4 linked regions of the Saccharomyces cerevisiae S288C genome follow. The gene in region 4 interacts genetically with the main gene of each other region. Each region holds a gene or a part of one and is shown on either strand. Other genes may lie near its edges.

What was found.
Region 1: mutations in ERG2 (region 4) and ECM22 are lethal when combined (synthetic lethality), as found in Saccharomyces cerevisiae (3 studies listed by BioGRID).
Region 2: of ERG2 (region 4) and ELO3, a mutation in one rescues a mutant of the other (synthetic rescue), as found in Saccharomyces cerevisiae (5 studies listed by BioGRID, with this or other methods).
Region 3: mutations in ERG2 (region 4) and ERG3 together harm fitness more than expected from each alone (negative genetic interaction), as found in Saccharomyces cerevisiae (5 studies listed by BioGRID, with this or other methods).

What each region holds. Positions count from the first base shown.
Region 1 is NC_001144.5:597,764-606,972, forward strand, and holds ECM22 (Ecm22p), read right to left. Parts: upstream 4,701-9,209; coding exon 2,256-4,700; downstream 1-2,255. Other genes in the region: Rho family GTPase CDC42, read right to left, coding at 6,449-7,024; BNA5 (kynureninase), read right to left, coding at 7,995-9,209.
Region 2 is NC_001144.5:863,466-871,240, forward strand, and holds ELO3 (fatty acid elongase ELO3), read left to right. Parts: upstream 1-3,888; coding exon 3,889-4,926; downstream 4,927-7,775. Other genes in the region: Rho family guanine nucleotide exchange factor ROM2, read left to right, coding at 1-3,319; VID22 (Vid22p), read right to left, coding at 5,197-7,775.
Region 3 is NC_001144.5:250,226-258,119, forward strand, and holds ERG3 (C-5 sterol desaturase), read left to right. Parts: upstream 1-3,635; coding exon 3,636-4,733; downstream 4,734-7,894. Other genes in the region: OSW2 (Osw2p), read right to left, coding at 1-635, 723-753; SAGA complex subunit SPT8, read right to left, coding at 1,047-2,855; putative mannosidase MNL2, read left to right, coding at 5,081-7,630; glycine hydroxymethyltransferase SHM2, read right to left, coding at 7,767-7,894. UniProt on the Saccharomyces cerevisiae protein: C-5 sterol desaturase; part of the third module of ergosterol biosynthesis pathway that includes the late steps of the pathway. ERG3 catalyzes the introduction of a C-5 double bond in the B ring to produce 5-dehydroepisterol.
Region 4 is NC_001145.3:665,820-668,705, reverse strand, and holds ERG2 (C-8 sterol isomerase ERG2), read right to left. Parts: upstream 1,170-2,886; coding exon 501-1,169; downstream 1-500. Other genes in the region: TOM complex pore protein TOM40, read right to left, coding at 1-214; DNA repair protein RAD14, read left to right, coding at 1,662-1,688, 1,773-2,861. UniProt on the Saccharomyces cerevisiae protein: C-8 sterol isomerase; part of the third module of ergosterol biosynthesis pathway that includes the late steps of the pathway. ERG2 catalyzes the reaction which results in unsaturation at C-7 in the B ring of sterols and thus converts fecosterol to episterol.

The sequences.
Region 1 (9,209 bases), on a different chromosome or scaffold from region 4:
CATAACAACACTCAAGAAACAATACGATACAAAGATAATAAATCTGGGTGAAAGTGATAACGAAATTCAGTACGACATACTTGGCTTAGAAATCAAATATCAAAGAGGTAAATACATGAAATTAGGTATGGAAAACTCATTAACTGAGAAAATACCCAAATTAAACGTACCTTTGAATCCAAAAGGAAGAAAACTTAGCGCTCCAGGTCAACCAGGTCTTTATATAGACCAGGATGAACTAGAAATAGATGAAGATGAATACAAAGAGAAGGTACATGAAATGCAAAAGTTGATTGGTCTAGCTTCATATGTTGGATATAAATTTAGATTTGACTTACTATACTACATCAACACACTTGCTCAACATATACTATTCCCCTCTAGGCAAGTTTTAGACATGACATATGAGTTAATACAATTCATGTGGGACACTAGAGATAAACAACTGATATGGCACAAAAACAAACCTACCGAGCCAGATAATAAACTAGTCGCAATAAGCGATGCTTCATATGGTAACCAACCATATTACAAGTCACAAATTGGTAACATTTTCCTACTCAACGGAAAAGTGATTGGAGGAAAGTCGACAAAGGCTTCGTTAACATGCACTTCAACTACAGAAGCAGAAATACACGCAGTCAGTGAAGCTATTCCGCTATTGAATAACCTCAGTCACCTTGTGCAAGAACTTAACAAGAAACCAATTATTAAAGGCTTACTTACTGATAGTAGATCAACGATCAGTATAATTAAGTCTACAAATGAAGAGAAATTTAGAAACAGATTTTTTGGCACAAAGGCAATGAGACTTAGAGATGAAGTATCAGGTAATAATCTATACGTATACTACATCGAGACCAAGAAGAACATTGCTGATGTGATGACAAAACCTCTTCCGATAAAAACATTTAAACTATTAACTAACAAATGGATTCATTAGATCTATTACATTATGGGTGGTATGTTGGAATAGAAATCAACTATCATCTACTAACTAGTATTTACATTACTAGTATATTATCATATACGGTGTTAGAAGATGACGCAAATGATGAGAAATAGTCATCTAAATTAGTGGAAGCTGAAACGCAAGGATTGATAATGTAATAGGATCAATGAATATAAACATATAAAATGATGATAATAATATTTATAGAATTGTGTAGAATTGCAGATTCCCTTTTATGGATTCCTAAATCCTTGAGGAGAACTTCTAGTATATTCTGTATACCTAATATTATAGCCTTTATCAACAATGGAATCCCAACAATTATCTCAACATTCACCCATTTCTCAGAATAGATGTGAACTCTTTGGTTTTCGGTCAGACTAGACGTCAGTAAATAGTTTGAAAGCGAGAATAAAAAATAATTGTAATGGATAATGAAATGCCGTTAATTGGTAGTATTAATGAAGAATGAATATCCATCTTTTCATGCAATATAAGAGAAAAATATAAAACTGCTGAGATACGGACAAAAATCACCTATGTACAAGTATTTATTTTATCATATACGGCGTAAGAAGATGACGTCAAAAATTGAGGAACAGTCATCGAATTTAATGGAAGCTGAAATGCAATGATCGATAATGTAATAGGATAATGAGTAACAACAATTAAATTGAAGAAGAAAAAATAGTGATGCTCTGTAGAGATGTCATTTCCCTTCAATGTTGCTATATTCTCCTGGCACATTAACGTATGCCCACTATTAGTGCCTTTAACAATAGAATCCCAACAATTATTCAATTATTCACCCATAAAATCCACCTATTTTTCAAGAAAGCATTAGATTTGCTCATTATTATTTATTATTAACATAAAAGTGCCTTTGGTAGTTACTATGTATTTAGTGTGGTGACCCGTATTCCTCATATATATAAGTAGCTACCACATTATGTTCAATCAATATATCTTTAACTCAGCTCAGCATTGTCTGAATTGCTCGCTTAAGTTTTTATCCTGTGATTAGTGCATTTACACATAAACGTATACCGGGTGTACCTCAATATACTATGTAAACATTTAAATTGTTACCATAACAACTCATGTTATTATTAATGATCACTTGACAACATATAAAAACGAAAGAAGAAATAATAATACTACTATGTATAAGTATCCATTTCCTTTTGTGGATTCCTCAAAATGGCCAGTATATTCGGAAGTAACATAATGTAGTTATTCATCGATGAGGTTCACATTCTGTAGCACTGACCCATCGAAAGAAAAGAGTTTATATTTTGATAAATTACATAAAAGCTGAAAAGTTTGTAGTGGTCATAGAAGGTAACCCACCTCCTAAGAAATCCAGCATCATATGCATACCACCACCTCCACTATACTCATCAACATCCTGTGGTAAAACCTGTGATACGCTATCCAAGAACCACACTTTGTCCTTTATTTCTGTGGTATAACCTCTCAATAATGTATAGTAAGACCTCATTATTCTCATGGCCCCTAGGTCGCCTGTCATTAATAATGCTAAAAAAGTCCTATCCAAAAGAGCAGGAAATGAGAAGACTCTCAACATAAAATCTAATTGATTTTTTTCGCGATGCAGTTTGTCCAAATATGCTAAAGTTATCAAGTACGGTGAATCAATTTCTACGGGATATAAATCTGCTATACTTTCGTCAAAGCATACGAGTTCCGATATCGTATTATTGTTATTTCCATCACCATTATTGCTATTGTCATTATCATTATTATGATTACTTTGGTTGATTACAGCTTCACCCAAATCACTCAAGTCAACAGAAATTAAGTTATAAAACTTGGATGTCTCCGACAGGGGCCATACAGCAGTTAGTATAGTTACGGCGCCTTTAACATGGAAAATCCATGCCGTTGGTGAGCTGCTTGAAGCATTTGCCAATGAATCTAGGATTAATATTAGAGCACTAGCCACCAAAGCATCTGTGTTATCATCTGAAATTTCGAGCACAGCCTCTCTTAACAGTCTCAACGCTTCTAAACGATGACTAGACACGTAGTTATCCAAGCCGGCTTCAGTTCTGGACAAATGAGTGGCGCTAAAAGCCAAAATTGTATGCATCAAGAAGGGAAAATGAAAAGCCAAATCCGGAATATAAGTGCTCCATACTTCAGGACCAGAAATGCCTGCTTCGGTTATGGTATGCCATACGTCAGTACAATAGTGATGAAAAAGTTTTAGATCTATCAAATTCAAATTTGATTTTCTAGACAGCCCGACTAATTCAGGGACTAGTCGTGAGGCTGATGAAGCGTTTGAATGGGGAGAAGATTGTTGTTGAGTGTGAGAATTTGATGAACGTGGAGACAATGCCTCCGAGTTGGATAACAGGTCACCCATTGGGGACGTCTTCAAAGTAGGAGAATTTCCCAAAGCGGTCCTGTTGTCCGGTATAGATAACAATGACTTTGTAGAGGTTACATTGGATACTCCCGTTGAAGGGGACGCAATGTTTTGATCTATGGAAGGTTTGGACAACGTGTGTGGGGGACTGATTGTGAGACCGGTATTGTCGATTATCAAGTTTTTGTTATGAGATAGTATATCAGAAGCAGTAACTTTATTTTCGTTTCCGTTAAGGGGGTTATTGCCCGAATTAACAGCATCCGTCTTAGTATTATCCAATGGGTTCTTCGTAAATTGCTTGTTTTTGTCCTCCTGTTCCTGTTGCATATTTGCGAGTGCCTCCTCTGCTGTGCTAACTTTGATTGCTCTGTTATTAGATGTAGCAAACTTTCCGAGGCCAAATAACTCTTGAAACTCAGAGGCCATTCCATTTGCAGCACCGTATGGAAATAATGTATTGAAGCTCTTCATATTGAAGTTCAAGCCCATCTTGTTCAATTGCGCTAGCTGGTCGAAGGGAATATTGCTGAAGGGGGACTGTGTTCCTTGTTGTTGTGGAATTTGCTGATTTTGTTGTTGAAGTTGTGGCTGCTGCAATCCATTCGTCACCGAATTTAGCCTACCAGGCGAGAGTAAGCCGTTAAGGCTACTTGATAAATTCATGGCCGTTGATTGAAAACTAGGTGTTATCGGTATACTCAATGGCGAATTCCCTGGTAGGGCCATGTTTGGGTGGTTGTTGTTTATCATTGAACTGGGAGCTGTTTGTGTTATATTATTATGCGCTTCAGCTCCATTTGCACTGCTGTTGGTACTGTTACTGGTGTTATTCACTAAACTCGCTAATAGGTGCGGTAACAAAAGATTCTCCATATTATTGGATACGGATGGAGGAACGCTATTAGGGGAATTGCTTTGTTCATCAGTACCAACATGTGGCAACAGTTGCTGCTGTAACTGAACTTGCTGTTGTTGACGAAATTGCTGTTCTTGTTGATGATGAAGTTGCTGTTGTTGTTGTTGTAACATGATGGCATTGTCACTCAGATTTTTCTTGCCTACCCTATCGTGGACCGCTGATGCAAATTTTGACGACGAAGAATCTTTTCTTCTTCTTGGCTGAATAGGGCTGTAAACACAGTCCAATTTCATGTTTGTACATTTCTTGCAAAATGGTTTGCCTTCATCACATTTTACTCTTCTTCTTTTACAATTGTCGCAACCGGTCTTGGACTTGTTATGAAACTTCCGTTTCCCTGTCGAAGTCTTGCTCACTTTCTTGCCCCCAACCTCAATCAGTTCAGCATCCTTCTCTCTTTCTTGTCCAGCATTCCCATCATCGGATGTCATGTTATGTTAGATGGAGATCTATGGATAAACGAAATATAAACCTTAAATGAAAAAAACCGTCGACTTAACTCCTCTATATTATGTAAAGGCGAAATGTTATTTGTGCCTTTGAAAAGTGGAGGTCTTGGTTGCTTCTCCTTCGACGATAATCGATTTCGGTGACTAGTTAGTAGATGATGTAATCGTAGACGCAGGGAACCCTTGCTTTTCCCCAATCGTAACAAAAAAAAACAAGGGGAAATAAACTATTAGATAGTACGAGTTCGTTAAGTTAAAAAAAAGGCTATAAAAGTCGAAGAACGAATGATTACGACCAACATCTATTGTTCAAACTTGCCTTCGTTGAGTTTATCGAACGCGCTCGTTTAAATTTTTCCGACAAGAACGAGGAACGAGTCACCAATTACGTTTTCGGCTCTGTCGGTTGCAGGATCTGTAAAAGCGATATAGATACACACGTCAGCATGAAGCTCTTATGATTTGGCGAGTAGTGTTAGTACGTTAAATGCTACGACTCGGCATATACTGTGCTCGTTTTTATCAGTTTCATCCGAGGATTGTAGCCTTTTTTTTTCATTTGTTGATGTTTCTCTAGTATTTTCCGTCTTGTAGTGGTTTCGGGTATGTTGAACATAAACATTAAAAAAGACGATTAAATAAACTTGAGTTTGTACAAAGGAAAGCTGTAGTCATAGAGTATTTAGAAAAAAAAGCAGCCACAGTTTACATGAAGATGTGACCAATGAGGAGGCATCGGTTTGCCTTTGAATCTCAATCGCTTGAAAATTGAGTTCTTTTCGAATGATGACACCTCCGAGAAATGGCATTTCTATGCTAGCGCCACTCTACCCTTTCAAACGTCCGTACTCATATGAAGTTTCATCCTTCACGCAGCGATCTAAAAAGTTGTAAAAAAAAATACATTTAGGCCTAGCTATATATGCTACTATGTATCATTCAGTGAAATGGCTGAGGTTATATAAAATACTGGGAGGTCGTTTTTACGCTAAAGCAGACCTTGCGGATCTTTTCCTGTAGAATATATTTGTAGCATAAGTCCAATTTTACGGGCGCATTTTCAAAATCAAGGTGATATTGACATATTTTGAAGAGCACCCAATGGGCTAGCTGCAAGAACAAAGAGACCAGAAAGCCTAGAATTAAATGCCAGAAAAATGGAAATTTATTCTAGACAAAAATTGTTCGGCACCTCTACAGACGTTTAACGAACCTGGTCCGGCCTTTGAGGCGATCAAAAAAAGGCCCATTTTTGTGTTCCGCGTAATTGGTTTGCGCCTTTCCATGGAGCTTGGTGGGCGACATTCTCAAACTGGTTTCCTGATACATCATGCACGCCCGTAAAGGGTTTAAGTATTGATTGCTAGCCTGAATGTTTCATATGCATACCGTGTCTATGCAACGAATATATTTCAGAAAAAAGCACGAAAGCCAAATTTTTGATGTTAAGAGGTGTTTTTGCCCGTAAACGGAGAAGACGTGGTAGGACTCGCAAATGTCGCGTTTAGCGTTGAAGAACATGGAAGTATTGAACGTTTGGGGCTTGACGGCTCGACTTTTTTGCACTACTCCGCCTTGAACAGACGGATGATCCTGGCGCAAGAAACAAAGAGAATCAACTCTGAGCAAAGCGAAAAAATGAAATACAACGATAATAAAAGGATAGGAAGGTGTATATATAAGTTAATTTTAGATATAGATTAAGAAAAGATGGGCATATACTAATATGACTACAAAATTGCACATTTTTTACTTTTCTTGATAACAGGAGGCTCCAAGGCGGCCACGATAGCTTCATCGAATACATTCTTCAAACCGCGTTGTGTTAGTGCCGAACACTCGACATATTTTACTGCTTTCAGTTCTCTTGCTAACCTGGAACCTTGTTCTGATGTAATCGGACGTAATCTTTGTCTTTGCAACTTCTCGATGATTACCTTGTCATCCCTTAGATCAATCTGCGTACCGACGACCAGGCATGGTACACCTGGACAATGGTGATGTACTTCAGGGAACCATTTTTCTTTAACGTTTTCAAAAGAGGGTGGGGAAATAACACTGAAACAAACCAAAAATACATCAGTAGAAGGATATGACAAGGGTCTCAATCGATCGTAATCTTCTTGACCGGCCGTATCAAACAAACCTAACGTATATGGTTCATCACCAATCATCACAGTCACCGCATAGTTATCGAACACTGTTGGAACATAGTCGGCTGGAAATTGATTCGTTGTATAGGAGATTAGAAGGCACGTTTTCCCAACAGCACCATCACCGACAACAACACACTTTAGCGTTTGCATTTTGTGGAAGAGCTAATACGTTTATTTCTTGTTTTATAAGTTTTGCTTCTCTAATTCGTTTGTTAACCTATCTCCTCAGGAAAATAGAATAGTATAATAAATAACGAATATAATTTTTTGCGACAAAGGAAACCTATTGCAAAAAGTGAAGAATGACAGAGAAGGATAATCAGTATATCTCGGTACACCTGGAACCTATTTATCAAAACGCTGCTCTTGCCTTTTCCAAGAATCGCGTCTATCATCGATCAATCAACCTTGTTTGCTTTTTTTTATCACTTTTTCCCGTATCTTGTTTCATTTGGAAGGGCCCAATGGAAGCAGTATTACCCGTATTGAATGACCCTTGAATCGACGGTGGAAGACATCTTTAATGCGATGTTTAGAAGACAATGTGCCGTATTTACCTGTATATGTGGATTATCTAACAGTCTACAATACAAAATTAGGTGTAACGTAGCTACAACAGTTGATAGAAATAATGCAACTTTTTTTAAAAAAAAAAGAGAAAGTGCTCGAGGTGGGGATTGAACCCACGACGGTCGCGTTGCTTTTAAAGGCCTGTTTGAAAGGTCTTTGGCACAGAAACTTCGGAAACCGAATGTTGCTATAAGCACGAAGCTCTAACCACTGAGCTACACGAGCATTTTCGAAAGAGACGTAAATTAAATTGTTATTTATACCGTAGATGATTGTTTTTCACGAAATTACCCTTTTGAGTTCCGGCTTGTTTCGTTCAACAGTACTACCACTGATAAGTTAGCTTCATTATTGGAAGAAGGTTGATAAATGAAAGAAGATTCACGACTATGCACGGCAACTGGTAAGTAATACACGGGCCCAGATATTTATTTTAATTCTTGGAAAGAAAGTATAAATTTATAGGTTCGCTATCAGTAAGTATACGAATTTCAAACTACGTCATATATAATATCCAAAAGAAGATGAAGGCGATGCGGTCACTCTAGGACTACAACTTATCCATCGCCTCATTTAGTGCATTCACCGCAATGTATACATCTGAAAATGTATTATATAAGGGAGCAGGAGCCAATCTAATTACGTTTGGTCTTCTTGCATCGCCAATGACACCATGGTCATGCAAATATTGGAAAACTTTGGGCATAATATCCTCTTTTCCAGTGTCAGAATCGAAGTAAAGTGACAATTGGGCGCCATGTTCTTCATCTGTGCTTGTTGGAGTTAATATTGTAAAAAAACATGGTAATTTCTCGATCCTTAAAGGGTGTTTGTAATACTTGGAGGCTTCCAACAGTTCCGTCATATAGTTCGTCAGCAACAACGATCTTTTACGAACTTCATTAATACCATTAAACTTCGCAAATAATTCCAATGAACTTCTCAATGCCACTGTGTCAATAACGCTTGGATTAGATTGCCTGAATCCCAATGCTCCTGGAATCGGCTCGAATACTTCCAGCATTTGAAATCGCTTAGCAGGATCATTGCCCCACCAACCAGCTAATCTTGGCAAACTTTCCTTAGCAGGGTCTGGTTTAGTATGCTTCGAGTGGACAAATAAGCCACCAATTCCACCAGGCCCGGCATTCAAGTACTTGTAAGAACACCAACAGGCAAAGTCAACACCCCAATCATGAAGTTGCAATGGGACGTTCCCTACAGCGTGTGCTAAATCCCATCCAACCAATATGTCGGGGAATTGGTGGGCAAATGAGGTGATTCGGCCAATATCGAAATATTGCCCCGTGTAATACTGAACACCTGACAAACAGACCAGCGCCAATTCATCTTGATTTACCTCTATGGTATCCAGGATATCTTGAGTTCTGATATAAGTCTCTCCCTCGCGTGGCTCGATCTGAATAAAAACATTCTCAGGTTCCGAAATTCCATGAATTTTGCACTGGTTGTAGAAAGCATAATAGTCTGATGGAAAGGAGCCCTTTTCAAAAAGGATCTTGAATCTTTTCTCAGTAGGTTTATAAAACGTAATTAACAATGAATTCAAATTTGCAGTGAGACTATTCATTACTGCAACTTCATTTTCTTGAGCACCCACGATGGGGGCTAGTAGTGGAAGAATAGGTAAGTCAATGCTGACCCAAGGCACCTTTCCTCTGGCTTCTTCAGGATGTTTGAAATGCGATTCCACAGCACAATCGCTCCACGCATCTAGCTCAGCATTAATTGAATTCCTAGTTGA
Region 2 (7,775 bases), on a different chromosome or scaffold from region 4:
TAATAATATTAACAATCATAATAATAATAATACTAATAATAATGGCGCACATTATCAAGTGGGTAGTAGTAACAGTAATTACCCTCAACATTCACATTCTATATCATCTAGATCGATGTCGTTGAACTCATCTACTCTAAAAAATATTGCATCATCTTTTCAATCGAAGACTTCTAACAGCAGGAAAGCTACGCAAAAATATGATATAACTTCCAACCCATTCTCAGATCCTCATCATCATCATCATCATCATCACTCTTCAAACAGTCACAGTAGCCTAAATAATGTCCACGGGTCTGGAAACTCCTCAAGTGTTATGGGAAGCTCGTCTAATATTGGGTTGGGTCTTAAAACGAGAGTTTCTTCCACCTCATTAGCTTTAAAAAGATACACTTCGGTTTCAGGAACTTCTCTATCTTCTCCACGTAGAAGTAGTATGACACCTTTGTCGGCATCTAGACCTGTTATGAGCGCTTCATCAAAAAAACCTCAGGTATATCCAGCTTTGTTGTCAAGAGTCGCCACAAAATTTAAAAGTTCGATACAACTCGGGGAACATAAGAAGGATGGATTAGTTTACCGTGACGCATTTACAGGGCAGCAGGCAGTCGATGTCATCTGTGCTATCATTAGAACTTCTGATAGAAACTTAGCCTTGTTATTTGGTAGATCACTAGATGCACAAAAGCTGTTCCATGATGTGGTATACGAGCACAGGTTAAGAGATTCACCACATGAAGTTTACGAATTTACAGATAACTCAAGATTTACAGGAACAGGTTCCACAAACGCCCATGATCCACTGATGCTACTCCCAAACTCATCATCTTTTAATTCCGGGAACCACTCTTATCCGAATTCCGGAATGGTTCCATCAAGTTCAACTTCATCTTTGAATAGTGATCAGGCAACTTTGACAGGGTCGAGGCTACATATGAGTAGTTCATTGTCCCAGCAAAAGAACCCTGCAGCCATTCATAACGTCAATGGTGTGTTTACATTACTGGCGGAATGCTATTCCCCTACGTGCACAAGAGACGCTTTGTGTTACTCTATTTCGTGTCCAAGACGTCTTGAGCAACAAGCAAGGTTAAATCTGAAACCAAATGGCGGCCTGAAACGTAATATATCAATGGCATTGGATGATGATGACGAAGAAAAGCCATCTTGGACAAGTTCCGTATCTAAAGAGGATTGGGAAAACTTACCAAAAAAGGAAATAAAAAGACAAGAGGCTATTTATGAAGTTTATATCACGGAGAAGAACTTTGTAAAATCATTAGAAATTACAAGAGACACATTCATGAAGACTTTGGCTGAAACAAATATTATTTCAGCAGATATTAGAAAAAATTTCATCAAGCATGTTTTTGCACATATAAACGATATCTATTCAGTGAATAGACGTTTTTTGAAGGCTTTAACTGATAGGCAAAGAAGTTCACCAGTTGTGAGAGGAATTGGGGACATTGTTTTAAGATTCATTCCATTTTTTGAACCATTTGTTTCATATGTCGCTTCAAGACCATATGCGAAGTACTTGATTGAAACCCAAAGATCAGTCAATCCCTATTTTGCTAGATTTGATGACGATATGATGAGCTCCTCCTTACGTCATGGTATTGATTCGTTTTTATCTCAAGGTGTTTCAAGACCAGGTCGATATATGCTATTGGTCAAAGAAATCATGAAATCTACTGACCCCGAGAAGGACAAAAGTGATTATGAAGATTTAAGCAAAGCCATGGATGCATTAAGGGATTTTATGAAAAGGATTGATCAAGCAAGTGGTGCTGCACAAGATAGACATGATGTAAAATTGTTGAAACAAAAGATTCTTTTCAAAAACGAATACGTTAATTTAGGATTAAATGACGAAAGGAGAAAAATTAAACATGAAGGTATACTATCACGGAAGGAGTTGTCAAAATCGGACGGAACAGTTGTTGGTGACATACAATTTTATCTTCTAGATAATATGCTCTTATTTTTAAAGGCCAAAGCAGTTAATAAATGGCACCAGCATAAGGTATTCCAAAGGCCCATTCCATTGCCATTGTTATTTGCATGTCCAGGTGAAGATATGCCTGCGTTGAGGAAATATATTGGAGACCACCCAGATTGTTCAGGAACTGTAATTCAACCAGAATACAACACGAGTAATCCTAAAAACGCAATAACTTTCTTATACTACGGTGCCAAGCAGAGATATCAAGTTACATTATATGCTGCGCAATACGCTGGATTGCAAACGCTTTTGGAAAAAATAAAGCAAGGACAAGCAGCTATTATAAGCAAAACGGAGATGTTCAATGTAACGAAAATGAGCGATAGGTTCTTCGATTACACCAACAAAATTAACAGTGTTACTTCCTGTGATGGGGGTAGAAAACTTCTGATTGCAACGAACTCTGGATTGTATATGAGCAACATTAAAAGACAGCAGAATAAAGATCATAGACATAAAAGCTCTGCTTTTTTTTCAACTCCAATCCAACTAGTACAAAGAAATAATATCACTCAAATTGCTGTATTAGAAGAATTCAAATCAATCATACTTTTAATTGATAAAAAATTATACAGTTGTCCGCTGTCATTAATCGAAGCAGAAGGTAATGGGACATCTTTCTTCAAAAAGCATCACAAGGAACTGATCAATCATGTGAGTTTCTTCGCAGAAGGAGATTGCAATGGTAAGAGATTAATCGTGACTGCACACAGTTCATCGCATTCAATTAAGTACTTCGAGCATGAACATCCATTATTGGCCGAAAAAAATGGTAGTGGTAGCGGTAACAAAAAAAGTCTCAAGAAAAAAATCACCGAGGTTATTTTTGATTCTGAACCTGTCTCTATTTCATTTCTCAAGGCCAACCTATGCATTGGCTGTAAAAAGGGTTTTCAGATCGTTAGCATTTCACAGAATGCTCATGAATCCTTGTTAGATCCGGCCGATACATCATTAGAGTTTGCACTAAGGGATACTTTGAAACCAATGGCAATCTATCGTGTGGGAAATATGTTTTTGCTGTGTTACACAGAATTTGCCTTCTTTGTCAATAATCAGGGTTGGAGAAAGAAAGAATCGCATATTATTCATTGGGAGGGAGAGCCCCAAAAATTTGCAATTTGGTACCCGTACATCTTGGCATTCGACAGCAACTTCATTGAGATCAGAAAGATTGAAACTGGCGAATTAATTCGTTGCGTCCTTGCTGATAAGATTCGACTTCTACAAACAAGTACTCAAGAAATCCTGTACTGCTACGAGGATTATCGCGGGTATGATACAGTTGCGTCGTTAGATTTCTGGGGTTAAGATAGCAACGTATATAGACTTTCCTTATTTTCTTTAGAATAAAAAGCATAACTAAAGTTGTAAAAGGAGCAGAATTATGAATAATAAACATTGATGACAATAGTGGAAAACGACATAAATAATAATTTTATAATATAATAATGATAATTCACCGTCAGAGGGATTTGTATGCAAATGATTGATGACGCGAGAAAAAAAAACGCGAAATTTTTCTTCCCAAAGCTTCGAAGTTTTTATTCCGTCCACAAAGTGAAAAATTTTCAGAAAATTTTCCAGACTGTGAATAAACAAAAGGTTGGCTTACGCATTTGGCTTGTCTTTTTTTTTTTTCACAGGTTCTTAGTAAATAATTGTATAAAATATTTATCTGGAGTCTTCTGTTTGTTGTTTAGCCTTGTTTGAAGTTTTATTTAACTTATTACCCCAGTTAGGTACTGTGTATTTTCCGCATATCTGGTGTCTTTTTATTTGGTCATTGATTGGTTTTTGACAGCTCTTCACTCGCTTCAAGCTTACTTCTAGTTTATTTATTCGGCTTTTTTCCGTTTGTTTACGAAACATAAACAGTCATGAACACTACCACATCTACTGTTATAGCAGCAGTTGCCGACCAGTTCCAGTCTTTGAACTCTTCTTCTTCATGTTTCTTGAAGGTTCATGTTCCTTCCATTGAGAACCCATTCGGTATTGAATTATGGCCAATTTTCTCCAAAGTGTTTGAATACTTTAGTGGCTATCCAGCTGAGCAATTCGAGTTTATTCACAATAAGACTTTCTTGGCTAACGGGTATCATGCTGTTAGTATTATTATCGTTTATTACATTATTATCTTTGGTGGCCAAGCTATCTTACGCGCCTTGAACGCCTCTCCATTAAAGTTTAAATTGCTTTTCGAGATACACAACTTGTTTTTGACTTCTATTTCTCTAGTTTTATGGTTGCTGATGTTAGAACAGTTGGTTCCTATGGTTTATCACAACGGTCTATTCTGGTCTATCTGCTCTAAGGAAGCCTTCGCACCAAAATTAGTTACTCTTTACTATTTGAACTATTTGACCAAATTCGTAGAATTGATTGACACTGTGTTTTTAGTTTTGAGAAGAAAGAAGTTATTGTTTTTGCACACTTACCATCACGGTGCCACCGCTTTGTTGTGCTACACTCAATTAATTGGTCGTACTTCTGTTGAATGGGTAGTTATCCTACTAAACTTGGGTGTTCACGTTATCATGTACTGGTACTACTTCTTGAGTTCATGTGGTATTAGAGTTTGGTGGAAGCAATGGGTCACTAGATTCCAAATTATTCAATTTTTGATTGACTTGGTATTTGTTTACTTTGCTACCTATACATTCTATGCTCACAAATACTTGGACGGTATTTTACCAAACAAGGGTACTTGTTATGGTACTCAGGCTGCTGCTGCTTATGGGTATTTGATTCTAACATCTTATTTGCTTTTGTTTATTTCCTTCTACATCCAATCTTACAAGAAAGGTGGTAAAAAGACAGTCAAGAAGGAATCTGAAGTTTCCGGCTCCGTTGCATCCGGTTCTTCTACTGGTGTCAAGACCTCTAACACCAAGGTCTCTTCCAGGAAAGCTTAAATAGGAAGCGAGAATTTTTGACAGCGAATGAAAAAGAAAAAAATTAAATGTTAACATTTTCTTTATATTAAATATGTACGATAAATGAAATCATTATTATAGAAATGATAGATTATTGGCTTGGTGTTTTTCCCATTTTGATTAATCATTTCCTTAGCTGCCCAAAGAATTGCACGCTTACAGTGAGGAGTAGTGATACATTACAATTATAAAATAAAATTATATAGCAGCTAAAATTTAAAACAAACAGACTTTGTTCCTTTGTATGTCCTATGGAAGATACTGACTTGCAGTTTGTAAAGTGTCCAAGTCGTAATCCACTTTACTTGCCACGAATTGATCATTGAATAATTTAATTTTAATAATCTCTTGAGTTAAATCGGGATGTACTCTGGGAATGAAGTCATTTAAAAATGAGTACTCTCCCCTAATGGAGGAAGATGACTGACATTGCATTATCTTGAACAAAATTCTAATTATCGGCCCAGCATCATTATCTAAGTATTGGGACCAGAACGCGTTACACACAGGAACATGGATATCAAGTAACTCTTCAATGAAGTTCATTGGTTGTTCTAGCTCTCCAATAATAGAGTCCTCTGTTATTATTCTCTTCTTGAAACGGCCACTATCTCTAATGAAATTGCTTTGTTCACAATACGACCTGTAAGATATGGGTACGATGGAGTTTACTGTACTCAAGTAATCATATAAGTCCTCTTGAATGATTTGTAAAAAGATACTATCTATTTCCTTTGATATGGTAGAGTCCGATAAATGATGGGTATCGCTAAGAGAACCAAATGATAGGTTATTATTGCTATTCTGTGGTTGTTGTTCCGGTAATACAGAATTTTCTCCACCAGTAGGATCTATATCTATTCTTGATGCGGGCGTATTTGAATTCGAGTGGTTGTCGTTGTCGTTATCATGTTCGTTATCATTATTGTCGCTGTTGTTGCCGCTTCTATTGTTGATGTTGTTCGTCTGATTATCAGTGTGAATGTTCATGTTGCTATGATTGGAAGTATTATGACTGTTGTTAACGTTGCCTATTGTGTGTAAATTCAAAAACCTTTTCAATAAACTGAAAATTGATGTAGAAAGTTTGTCGACTATTTCAGAAAGTGAAATGGTATGAAAAGAATATTCCAGGACTTCTCTTTCGAATAAAATCGCAGGACACAAGAACATTGCTAAAAGGTTCATATCGTCTGAAAATAAAATGGTTTTGAATTCTTGAATTTTAGACAAAAATGTTTCAAATGGTGCAATTAACCGTTGAAATTGTAGGCTGCCCAAGGTGGACAACAGATGCTTTTCAATAGACATTATGGCGAACAAAACATAGGTAAAGTTTAAGCTTTTGGAAGAAGTAAAGAACTTTAGTATTCTATTGATGGAATTCAAAGTAATTAATAAATAGTCTATTATTTGAAAGTCGATTTCGTTGAATTTTTCAATTTGGATAGAAGATTGATATTCTTCTATTATGGGACGAAGGTTCAAAAAAGTTTGCAGTGAAACGGTGGCGGTAGAGTAACGGGATAAATCGAATTTCGAACAAACGAATTCGAAGCCAAATTTTTCACACAATGAACGGAATTTATCTAACTGCCACGAATTAGATTGTAAATCATCCAAAAAAGAATTGATTCTGGAAAAAATGGAATTCGAAATATCTATATTTGACAAATCAATTAGAGAGTCCAATAAAGTCAAAGGTTCTTTGGAGAATGATGATTGTCTCGGATGCGTAATATCGGCGGATTTAGGCGTACCGAACAATGGCAATATCGCAGAATTTATTATGGAAATAATGCAATTGTGATAATAGTTTTTAGCATTCGTATACGTATTCGGGAAAAAGGGTTGGCTATCCATTACGTTTAGTAGATCTACTATTTGAGATCTTGGTAGAGTGATAGAAATCACAGTATTTTGTAAACCAGGTAATTCTTGTGAGATTTTGAGCAGTTGAGCTGGAATAGATAGTTTGGGGTCATTGTTATATTCATGTAAGTTTTGGATGATAAGGGGTAAAGTCTTTACTTGGGAATGAAAATCATCATAGTACTGAATACTCAATATAGATATCGTGTTATTCCAAACGGAGTGGCTTAGAGAGAAAAAATTGATTTTTTGCATTTCAAATAATTGGTTCTTCAACCTGTTTGATAACTGATTAGATCTATCGGTTGGGTCCATTAGTAAGTAGTTTTTGTCGATAATCAACGACAAATCGGAATTGTTTCGCAAAGCTGTCCTTTGAATGATTCTATCGAGATTATATGCGATGGACCTGATAGCATTCAGAATTAAGTCATGGTCAATGAAGCTTAGTGAGTTGGCGTTCTGATTGATCAAAAGGCGTACGGCAGTGTTGTCTACGAACGACAGAGGCAAGTTTTCTGATGCAATTATGATCGCAAGCGACTGCACAAGAGGCAAGGCCATTTCTTTTTCCCTAGTTCTCTTCAAAAAGTCCTCGTCTATTTCCAGCAGGTTAGCAATGCTGTTCGTTGTGGCGCTACCGCCTTGATGGTTCTTCAAAGGTGGTCTGACCATAAAAGTAGAACCTGCTTCTACGCCCGTCCATCCGCTATAGTAATTGGCATTCGGGTCTATCTTATGCGTGCTCCACAAATGAGTTTGCGAGGCTTCCGCCATGCTTATGCTGTTTCCTTGCCGTCTTATTATCACACCGCAGTACTTGCATTTTACTGCCTCCAGCATCTTGTCTACACCCAGAAAATGGCCCAAGTAGCGTGACCTGTCTCTGGTAAGCATATATGCGGGCACCCATTCGCTACCATCCTCTGCTAACGACTCCCTTTCCTCATCTCTAT
Region 3 (7,894 bases), on a different chromosome or scaffold from region 4:
TTTTGGGTCCAAAATTAATTTAGATTTCATCCATTTCGCAACGGTCAATCCAAGAAGGAACCTGCGAACATTTGAACCCTTAATCCCTTGCAATTCTAACGAAGCTGCTTTCGTGTTTTCCAGAATGGTTGGACTTGCTTCAAAATTAGCATCACAATAAGTTAATCCCAAAGTTATTACACATTGATCGTCGTTGACCAATGCATATGATCCAAGCGATAACTGTCTGCATTCAACCTCACACGAAATGGAAATAACACACTTGCACTTCCCTCCAAAATAACTTATGGCTATGGGCTCCAGTTCGCAACCAAAATCAGTGCTAATAAGCACAGTCGTATTGTCGTTCGTGTAATCTGACAACAATCGACAAGTTGTTTCGAAAGACTGTAAGGAAATTGCAGACACTAACACAATGTCAATTGAATACGTATTTGCACCGTTATGTTTTAATTTGTGGTGCAGCTCTTTAATATCCTTAGTGAGAATGTTTGGCGTGTAGAAATTGGCGCCTAGTTTTGTCGATTTCCAGGCAACTAACTCGTCACTAGACACATATTGCGAGACCAGTATTATAAAAGAGTTGCTCAAACTTAGTCTCCATCCTAGAAATTGTGCTGCTGGTGTTTCTCCAACTGTAAAAAAAAGGAAATTTAAATTTACATTTATATGTTAGTAAATTTTTGTTCGAATGTCTGTTTTCTTAAACTTCTTTGCCATACCTATTAAGCACGTTAATTGGTTTTCTTCCATAACTAATGCGAGTTCTTGCCTTCAAAAAAAGAAAGAAAGGCTTAGGAATACAATTTGAACTAGTATTTGTATCGTGCGTCTATGTGCTTTTGTTAATATGAAGCGTATTATTAACTCCATTCATTTTACTTTTCATTCAAATTTTGATAGTATAATATGCCTTTGTCTGCCCGGACCCTGAATTACTGACACAAAATGAAGGGATCAGTGGCCCTGAAAAAAAAAAAAAAAAAATAAACGGCGCGCGGAGTAATTATGATTATGATTATGGTTATGATTATTATTACAACTCACTATTCTAAGTCTATATCGTAAATAAGGGTCGTGTCCGTAGAATTCCCCTGCCAGCCTCTGTTGCCACTTGTGCTTATTATAAATCTTGAAGTGGGGTCGAGGTATAAGTTTGATATAATACCACCGTGATGGCCCGGCACGATGAGGAACGGCACTTTAGAACTCTTTGTAGTCGAATTCGAAGCATCTACTGCAATTTCAACGTTGTACAATCTGATATTATCCCGCGATGCACATAGTAAATGCTTGTTATTAGGCATGGCTTTAACACAAGAGACAGGCCCTGAAATAGAAGGCAGTTTCAAATTATGGATAGGTTTCGAGGGCATCTTCAAGTCAAACTGCTCCACACAGGCATTCCTTCTCCCTGCATACACATGATCACCATCTACACCCCAACATGCGGACAAACACCACGGTGGGACGCCTGCACCTCTCTCCAGAGACAATGCTGGCGACTGCGTCATGCGTCGGTCCCAAATATGCACGGAACCGTTCAACCCTGAGGTCATAAAAACGGATTCATCATAGACTATGTTCAAAGATTCTTCAGATATCTGTTCTTTGTTCTCTTCACCATTAGAACCATCCCCCGTCTCGACGGGTTCGTTGCCAGCATCTTGCTTTTCGTCTTCGTCTTCATCACCAAACAGAGAATCCATATCGTCATCTGCATTTTCATTCTCTTTACCACTGTTGACGTTACCGGACACATCCACGGACGAGTACAGCGGCCGCATTTCCAAAGATGACAATTCAGACCTTGATTTTTTAAACTCATTAACTATGTCACCCGTCTGCAAATCCCATTCCAAAAGACGCTTATCCCAGGAACCACTCAAAAACCTGTCCTCTTGACCGTTTAATCTCAGTATGTTAACGATTTGGGTATGTCCATTCCTGCCCTTAAAATAGTGCGCAATGCTCCCCTCCATGTAGCGAACGCCCTGCATGGTAATCCCACCATTCTGTAGCCCGCTCAGTATAAAGAGGCATTCGCTTTGGACTTCCAAAGAATGAACGGGGCTAACTTTGGGCTCGTAATCTGTCTTATTAGCGGAGAGTTTCATTTCTGATTTTTTCTGCGGGATCTCATTTTCCCAGTACGACTGCAAGATACCCGCGTTCTGAATAGACTCAGCCAACGAATGCTTCTGCAGGATAGTTAGAGAAAGTTTCCCCTCAAGCGTGTTCAGCAAGTCGTACTTCCTTATGTATCCATCGCTACCGCCCAAAAACAGGTACTTGAGACCCCTGGACACGGCCAACGCATTGACGTGCGTCTGGATGGGTATGGCTGCCGTGGGGTAGATATTGTACGAATCCGCAATCTGTGCGGCATTCAACATGTGCTTATAGTACTCATAAACCTCTCCATTAGCAGAGGCTTCGTGTGTAGAGGAAGATGCTTCCCTGGACCCCACTCCTCCATCAACATCGCTCAATTTCACATCCTCGGATCCAATCTTAGTAACAGCATCGCCACTATCGCCTGCACCGCCAGCACCAGCAGCAGCAGCCTTTTGCTCATCATGCTGGTGCTCATTCGTCGGTGTAGCAGTCTTATCCATTCTTGCGGCGTCGTCCTCACCATCGTCGTCCTCCTGTTCATCGTCGTCCTCTCGTTCGTCCTCGTCATCATCATCGTCCTCATCATCATCATCGTCATCCTCTTCATCTTCACCACCGTCATCATTCCCCTCGAGGTCCTGCTTTGAGTCGTTTTCCAGCCCACTCAGCATCTCTTCGTCATCCTCCTCGTCATCCACCACCTGGTTGTTAATTAGAATATCGTCAACCTCGTCCATTACGTAAAAGAAGAAAAAAAAAAAAACTGAGCCTTTAGTACACTACAGTTACTGCTACAGCCTTTTACAGCCCAGCATCTGGCACCACTACGCTATAATATATGATGCGTCTATTATGCTAGAATCCTTCCTGAAAGGGCATTCTGGAAGCCCTACGTACAGAGTGACAATATATTAGGGCATCCATAAAAATAGATTAGGGCAGCTCTGCCATTTTTTTCATAGCCGAAAGAAGAAAAACTGAAAAAAAAAATGATACGAAAAAACCGCGAAACGACGCCTTTTGTTGCGATTGTCGGGCATCGCAAGTTACGACGCGTTGTCCCTTGCATCGCTGCCGTGTGGCACGACCCACTGCGGCCTAAACGACCGAGATCGGTGCCCGGGGCAGACCACCCGAAAACTCCCGGGCATTATTTCGGTCGTTTAGTTGCGCCCCAGGGCAACCGGGGTGTATACGAGGCCGATGGCTGCGATAAACGAAAAATTCAGGCTCGTATAAGTGGCACAATAGAAGGTGAAGAAGAACAGCAGGTGCATTGAAACAAGAGGTTCAGCAGCGATCGGGTATTGTTGTTGCTGCTATTATGTAACGGTCGAAAGAAACATCGCGGTATATATTAGAGGCGGATTTCTATCTTTCTTATCAATTCGTTTTTTCATTCACTTGTTCATTCATTCTTTACATTTGTCTTGTTCTTTGAAGTGGTTGCAGAGGAGGTCAGTTTGTTGCATTTGTAAAAAAAGATAATAAGAAAAATATTCGTCTAGATTTGAGATATGGATTTGGTCTTAGAAGTCGCTGACCATTATGTCTTAGACGACTTGTACGCTAAAGTTCTGCCCGCTTCGTTGGCAGCTAATATTCCTGTCAAGTGGCAGAAATTGCTAGGGTTGAACAGTGGGTTCAGCAATTCTACGATTTTGCAGGAGACTTTGAACTCCAAGAATGCCGTCAAAGAATGTAGAAGGTTCTACGGGCAGGTGCCATTCCTGTTTGATATGTCGACGACGTCTTTTGCATCGCTATTGCCTCGTTCCAGCATCTTGAGAGAATTCCTCTCACTATGGGTTATTGTTACGATCTTTGGTTTACTACTTTACTTATTCACGGCTAGTCTCAGCTACGTGTTTGTGTTTGACAAGTCGATTTTCAACCATCCTCGTTACTTGAAAAACCAAATGGCAATGGAAATCAAGTTGGCAGTCAGTGCTATCCCATGGATGTCGATGTTGACCGTTCCATGGTTTGTTATGGAATTGAACGGCCATTCTAAACTATACATGAAGATTGATTATGAAAACCACGGTGTAAGGAAGCTCATTATCGAGTACTTCACTTTCATCTTTTTCACTGATTGCGGTGTGTATTTAGCGCACAGATGGTTGCATTGGCCAAGGGTCTACCGTGCTCTGCACAAGCCTCATCACAAGTGGCTGGTCTGCACACCTTTCGCATCTCATTCTTTCCATCCTGTAGACGGGTTTTTGCAATCCATCTCGTACCACATCTACCCATTGATTCTGCCATTACACAAGGTTTCTTATTTGATTCTGTTCACTTTTGTTAACTTTTGGACTGTTATGATTCATGACGGTCAATACCTATCAAACAATCCTGCCGTCAACGGTACTGCCTGCCACACGGTTCACCATCTATATTTCAACTACAACTACGGTCAATTCACCACTCTGTGGGACAGACTAGGGGGTTCTTACCGTAGACCAGATGACTCATTGTTTGATCCTAAGTTAAGAGATGCTAAGGAGACCTGGGACGCTCAAGTTAAGGAAGTTGAACATTTCATCAAGGAGGTCGAAGGTGATGATAATGATAGAATCTATGAAAACGACCCAAATACCAAGAAGAACAACTGAATACGGTTGCCTTGTTTGTCTCATCTTTTTTCTTTCTTTCACGTTCAAGAACTTTCACACAACGAATAACGTTTATATATTTATATACACATACATGTTTTAAGATACGCATATCATTATGATGTACACCTCACGTTAGTGCAATATGCGCTATTCGTATATTAAATTTTTGCGTTCATTTAATGGCTCTTTTTCCTATTCTAGTGAAAAAAAAAACAGAAAATCGAAGAGCTGGAAAATTTAAGAACAGGCAAATAGGAAGCTGGAAGCTTTAAAATGCCCAAGATTTCGGTGAAGCGCAAGTGTTAACTAGAAAAAGGCCGCCACTACTCTATAAGCAAAACCTTATGTCCATAGCGCGATTAGTATACTCTCTTTTCAGAAGAGTACGATCGGTTCTCTTACTTTTCATTACCATATCGCTATTGTTTTACTATACGTTCCAGAATGAAATCGATATCTTGAATTCGTACGCTTTAAACGACTCACTACCGTCCATAAACAACTATGAGCACAATACAGAAGGTTCTTCGAAACTGGATCCTCCAGACCTATCGTCAACCGGTTCTGACCGAATAGCCACCGACAAGGAAAATGGCAACGTTGCAGTGGATTTGTCAGATCCAGCTACATTGAGAGAAAAAAACAAGTACTTTCCCTTGCTGTTAAAGGGATCGTCTCACCAGATTGGTTCGAATTTACCAATTTCGTCTCTTTTGACATATAAGGAAAAGTATCCCGTCTTGTTCGAATACTCATCACCTTCCTTAACTTCTATAAGCCAGAATGACGTTCATAAGATACAGCCGGCAATGCAATTGCCACCAGATGTTGATATGATAAAACAGATAAAGGACATTTTCATGAAATCATGGAACCAAGAGCAGTTGCTGCTGAAAAGTAACCTCAGAAGGGAATCTACTTGGCCCATAGATCTAATTGATTCTCTAGATACATTGTATCTATGTGGCGAGACGAAACTTTTTCAAGATTCTGTTAATATAATAGAAGATTTTGACTTTCGAGTACCTCCGTTAGCAATGGAAGTTATTGATATTCCTGACATCACTACCCGTGTCCTAGAAGGGTTACTGTCTGCATACGAATTATCTATGGATAAACGATTACTTAACAAAGCAAAACATGTTGCAGATTTCATATTAAGATCATTTGATACCCCTAATAGAATTCCTATTTTGAAATATTTTTGGAAATCTGATCTGAGAAATCGATTTCCAGACCGTACTGTTCCATCAGGTCAATTGACTACTATGGCACTCGCGTTTATCAGATTGTCACAGTTAACCCGTTTGAATAAGTATTTTGATGCTGTTGAAAGAGTTTTCACCACTATACGTCAATCATATAACGAATTTGATATGGAGTTTATGCTGCCTGACGTCGTTGATGCCTCTGGTTGCCAGTTATTAACTCAAGAGGAAATTGAGAATGGTGCACACCTAAAGGGATCCAGCATCATGAAAAGTATCAATGAAAATTTCAAGTTCGTACACTGTCAGCAGTTAGGGAAATTCTTAAATCCTCCAATAGATGATAATAGCCTCCAAGAACAATCTCAATACCAGGCTTATAGAATTAATGAAAAAACAGTACCCATTCTAGAAAATCTATTCAAAATCAATGACCTCTTCCAATCTTCTTATGATATCCTGGACGGCTCAAGTAAAAATGCTAATGCTGCAACGATGGACCCCAGTATTGGTTCAGAGGTAGAAGCAGTCGACGAAATAATTGAGAAAAGAAACTTTAAAGACGGTACTAAAAAAGATTCGACAAAAAACACCGTAGGTGATAAATCATTAATAGACTCGCAAACGTTTTTAACAAATTCCATCAGTAACATTTTTAAATTCATGACTTTTCGACCCATGTTGCCCAAGCAAACGGAAAACAAAAAGTTTAATTTTCTGAATTCCATTCTAACAAAATCTCAATTCATGCCCACGACTAATGAGCTAGATGTCACGATAAGAAAATCTTACGATGTCTCGTTATACTCATGCAGACTTGGCGGCATTCTAGGTTTAAGTTCACGTGTTCCCCACCGAGGCGGTGTCAACACGAAATATATTTTACCATCGTCACTATTGGAAATGAGCGAAATAATAACAGAAAGTTGTTTTATGCTAATGGAGGAGTTCGACGGGCTGCTCCCTCAAAAATTCGAGTTGGACCCTTGCACTGATGAGACTAATGGGAATTGCGAGTTTAACGGCGAAACTAAATCACGAATGATTGCCAACGGCGAATATGAAACTTTTGAAAATGACCTAGATGTCGGGATCAAAGTTTCGAATTATGGGAAAGGTGGGAATGACCAGAAAGCTAAGAGAAATGTACTAAGCAAAGATGGGATAACAGAGACTCAAAACATAAAAGGTGATACTGTTGGAAGCTCGAAATCGATTGCTGAAATAGACGGCGACGAAGTAACGCAAATACGTAGAGTTTTTACGCTTGGTAAGGATATCAAACCGCATATTACAACGGACGATACCATGGGTTCTCAGTGGAAAAACCATCCAGACTGGCCATTTTGGGTCAACAAGGTAGAATCCAGAAGATTGTTGGATTCGAATATCATTGAATCTATATTTTATATGTACAGAATCAGTGGAGAACAAAAATGGAGAAGCATGGGTAAGCAGTCTTTTGGAATCTTAATGCAAGAATTAATGGAACTAAACAGTGGTGCCAAAGGATTGTGGCAAATAAAGGAATTTTATGAAAACGGTGAAAAAGTGAACAATGATTTACCTAGCTATTGGTTCTCCAGAACATTAAAATACTATTTGCTACTATTCAGCGATGGTGACAAGGTTTCCCTGGACAAACACATCTTAACTCAAGGAGGGCACATAATCAAAAAGAAATGAAGTTAACGTTAGAAAAATCGTACGCACATACATACATACATATAGGTACATATATACATAATGAGAAGAGGAGAAAATGAATACTTATACAGTAATGTTTATTTTTTTGGGATTAAGTGTCGTTGTGGTGATTTCTTTACACAGCCAATGGGTATTCGCCAGCCCAGTCGTAAATTTCCTTTTTCCAGGTGTTCAAAACATCAGAGCCTTCGTCGACCTTGGCTTTGAAGTCCTTTAATCTACAAGCATCCTTTGGCAAGCTTT
Region 4 (2,886 bases):
GGGAGACTTCCTTATTCAGGTTTTCCACGGTACCGGGATTGACCAGCTCCAAAGATTGTCTGTGAGAATGCAATTGTTTGTACGTATCCACAACAAAGCTAGATATTGGGTTTGAGGAGAAGAAATTCCCCTTGGATTGCTTCGCAGTCAAAGGAGAAAGGGCCGGGATAGTGGGAATTTGAGAGGCCTCTGCTAATGGAGTTGGTGCAGACATGATTCACGTCGGTTATTGGTAGTCTTTTATTGTTTTGCACGATGGTTAAAAGGCCTTATACGCATACACCGCTTTCAAAGAATTGAAGATTGAGTTCATGTCCACCAAAAGACGCCTTTTTCACTTTTTGCAAACGCCGAATATATCCGTCGTCGTAGGTGATAAAAAGCTAAAGAGAATATAAACAATAGATAATAATAATAATAATAATAATAGTAATAGTAATAATAATAATAGTTATATTATAATGGACTACCGCATGACTGATTTCGTGAGGTCGGGCAGCTTAGAACTTTTTGTTTTGCAACAAGTTCTTACCCATGTCCCTGGCAGTCAGGTAGACAGTTCTATATAGAGTGTATAAATCAAGAGTACTGGAGAAAGTGTCCAAAAACCCGAATGGCAACATACATGGAATCCAGCCTTGAGCCAATTCAAGGGCAAAGGAACCACCTGGCATGCTGTATTGCTTGGCGTATCCCTTCTTCAAGTGATGAGTCATACCAGGAGTGTAAACTTCGGCTTCAGTGGCATATGGCAATGCTGCGATTTGCGTACCATGTAAGATGGTAAAATAGTCGTCAGCAAAGTGAACACCTGTGTGCCCTTCAGTACCAACAGCGGTTCCGAATAGAATTAAGTACTCGGATACGGAAGCGTGTAGGATGATCATTTGGCCCATCGCACCACCAGCATTGTTGAAGACCCATTCTTCTTTGACGTACCTGTTGATGTATTCGTCCCCGTAATGAGAGGCAAGTGCGTCTCTGACATCCTGTAACAGGTCTTCAGTGGATAAACCTTCTGCTGCGTTGTGTTTGCTAATCACCGAGTTACATATTTCGTTCAAAGTTTTTGGATCGAACATGTAATTGGTTGGCAACCAGGTAGTGAACAATACGTTCATAATGTAGCCTACAACACCAATCAACAAAAGGAGTGGGAAAAACTTCATGGCTATAATGGTCTGGGCTAGTCTTAGTTTGATTGAGCGACAAGAGAGATCTGAACCCAGTGTCAAACGTTACCGCTTCTTTCTCTTATATACCATGGCGCTGCAGATCTATCCAAATTCTTCCATACTGAAAATCATCCAAACGAGAACGATAGCACCGGTAGTTTTCCTTGCGGCTTATACGAGGGCCGTGGTTCGATTCTGCCCTGGAGCGTAAGGGCAGGAATGTGCATTGCATAAGATCATAATGGGATACTTCGTTGATAATAAGCAGAATCAACATAGCAGACTGCTAGTGGCATACTCCACAACCCTTGTTTTTTTTTTTTTTTTTGTTTGAATAACTGTACTTCTATAGAAGCTCTATCTACAGCATGTTTGACGTTTGCTAAGTTGTAGGGAGAAAAGAGGAAAGTGAAAAGAAGGTAAGGAATTTATCGGAACTAGAAAAAGAGTTTGGATCTTCGTAGTGAAGGTATCGAACGTAACGCTATGACTCCCGAACAAAAGGCCAAACTAGTATGTGTGAAAATGATTCTGTGTTTGTATTTTAACCGTGGGTTTCTTTTTACTAACAATTTAACGATGAGATGAGCTGTGCAGGAGGCTAACAGGAAATTAGCAATAGAACGGTTAAGAAAAAGGGGAATACTGAGTAGCGACCAATTGAATCGAATAGAAAGTAGGAATGAACCTTTAAAAACCCGGCCTCTCGCAGTTACTAGTGGCAGCAATCGGGATGATAATGCAGCAGCCGCAGTACATGTGCCAAATCATAATGGACAACCGTCTGCGCTTGCTAACACTAACACTAACACTACTTCACTTTATGGTAGCGGAGTAGTTGATGGAAGTAAAAGGGATGCGTCGGTACTCGACAAAAGGCCAACGGATAGAATCAGACCTAGCATAAGGAAACAAGATTACATTGAGTACGATTTTGCCACCATGCAGAACTTGAATGGTGGTTATATCAACCCTAAGGACAAGCTTCCAAATTCTGACTTTACCGATGACCAAGAATTTGAATCTGAGTTTGGATCTAAAAAGCAGAAGACACTACAGGACTGGAAAAAGGAACAACTTGAACGGAAAATGCTGTACGAAAATGCACCTCCTCCAGAGCATATTTCAAAGGCGCCGAAATGTATTGAATGTCATATTAATATTGAGATGGATCCTGTGCTACATGATGTGTTCAAGTTACAAGTTTGTAAACAGTGTTCTAAGGAGCATCCAGAAAAGTATGCACTACTGACGAAAACAGAATGTAAGGAAGATTACTTTTTAACAGACCCCGAATTGAATGATGAGGATCTCTTTCATAGACTAGAAAAGCCGAACCCTCATTCGGGGACATTTGCAAGAATGCAACTATTTGTTAGATGTGAAGTGGAAGCCTTTGCGTTCAAGAAATGGGGTGGAGAAGAAGGTTTAGATGAGGAATGGCAACGTCGTGAAGAAGGAAAGGCTCACAGAAGGGAGAAAAAATACGAAAAGAAAATCAAGGAAATGCGACTGAAAACAAGAGCTCAAGAATATACTAATAGATTAAGAGAAAAGAAGCATGGGAAAGCCCATATTCATCATTTTAGTGATCCAGTTGATGGAGGTATTGATGAAGACGGTTATCAAATTCAAAGAAGAAGATGTACAGACTGCGGGCTAGAAACTGAAGAAATTGACATTTAAATGTTGGTTATGTATATAAGAATAT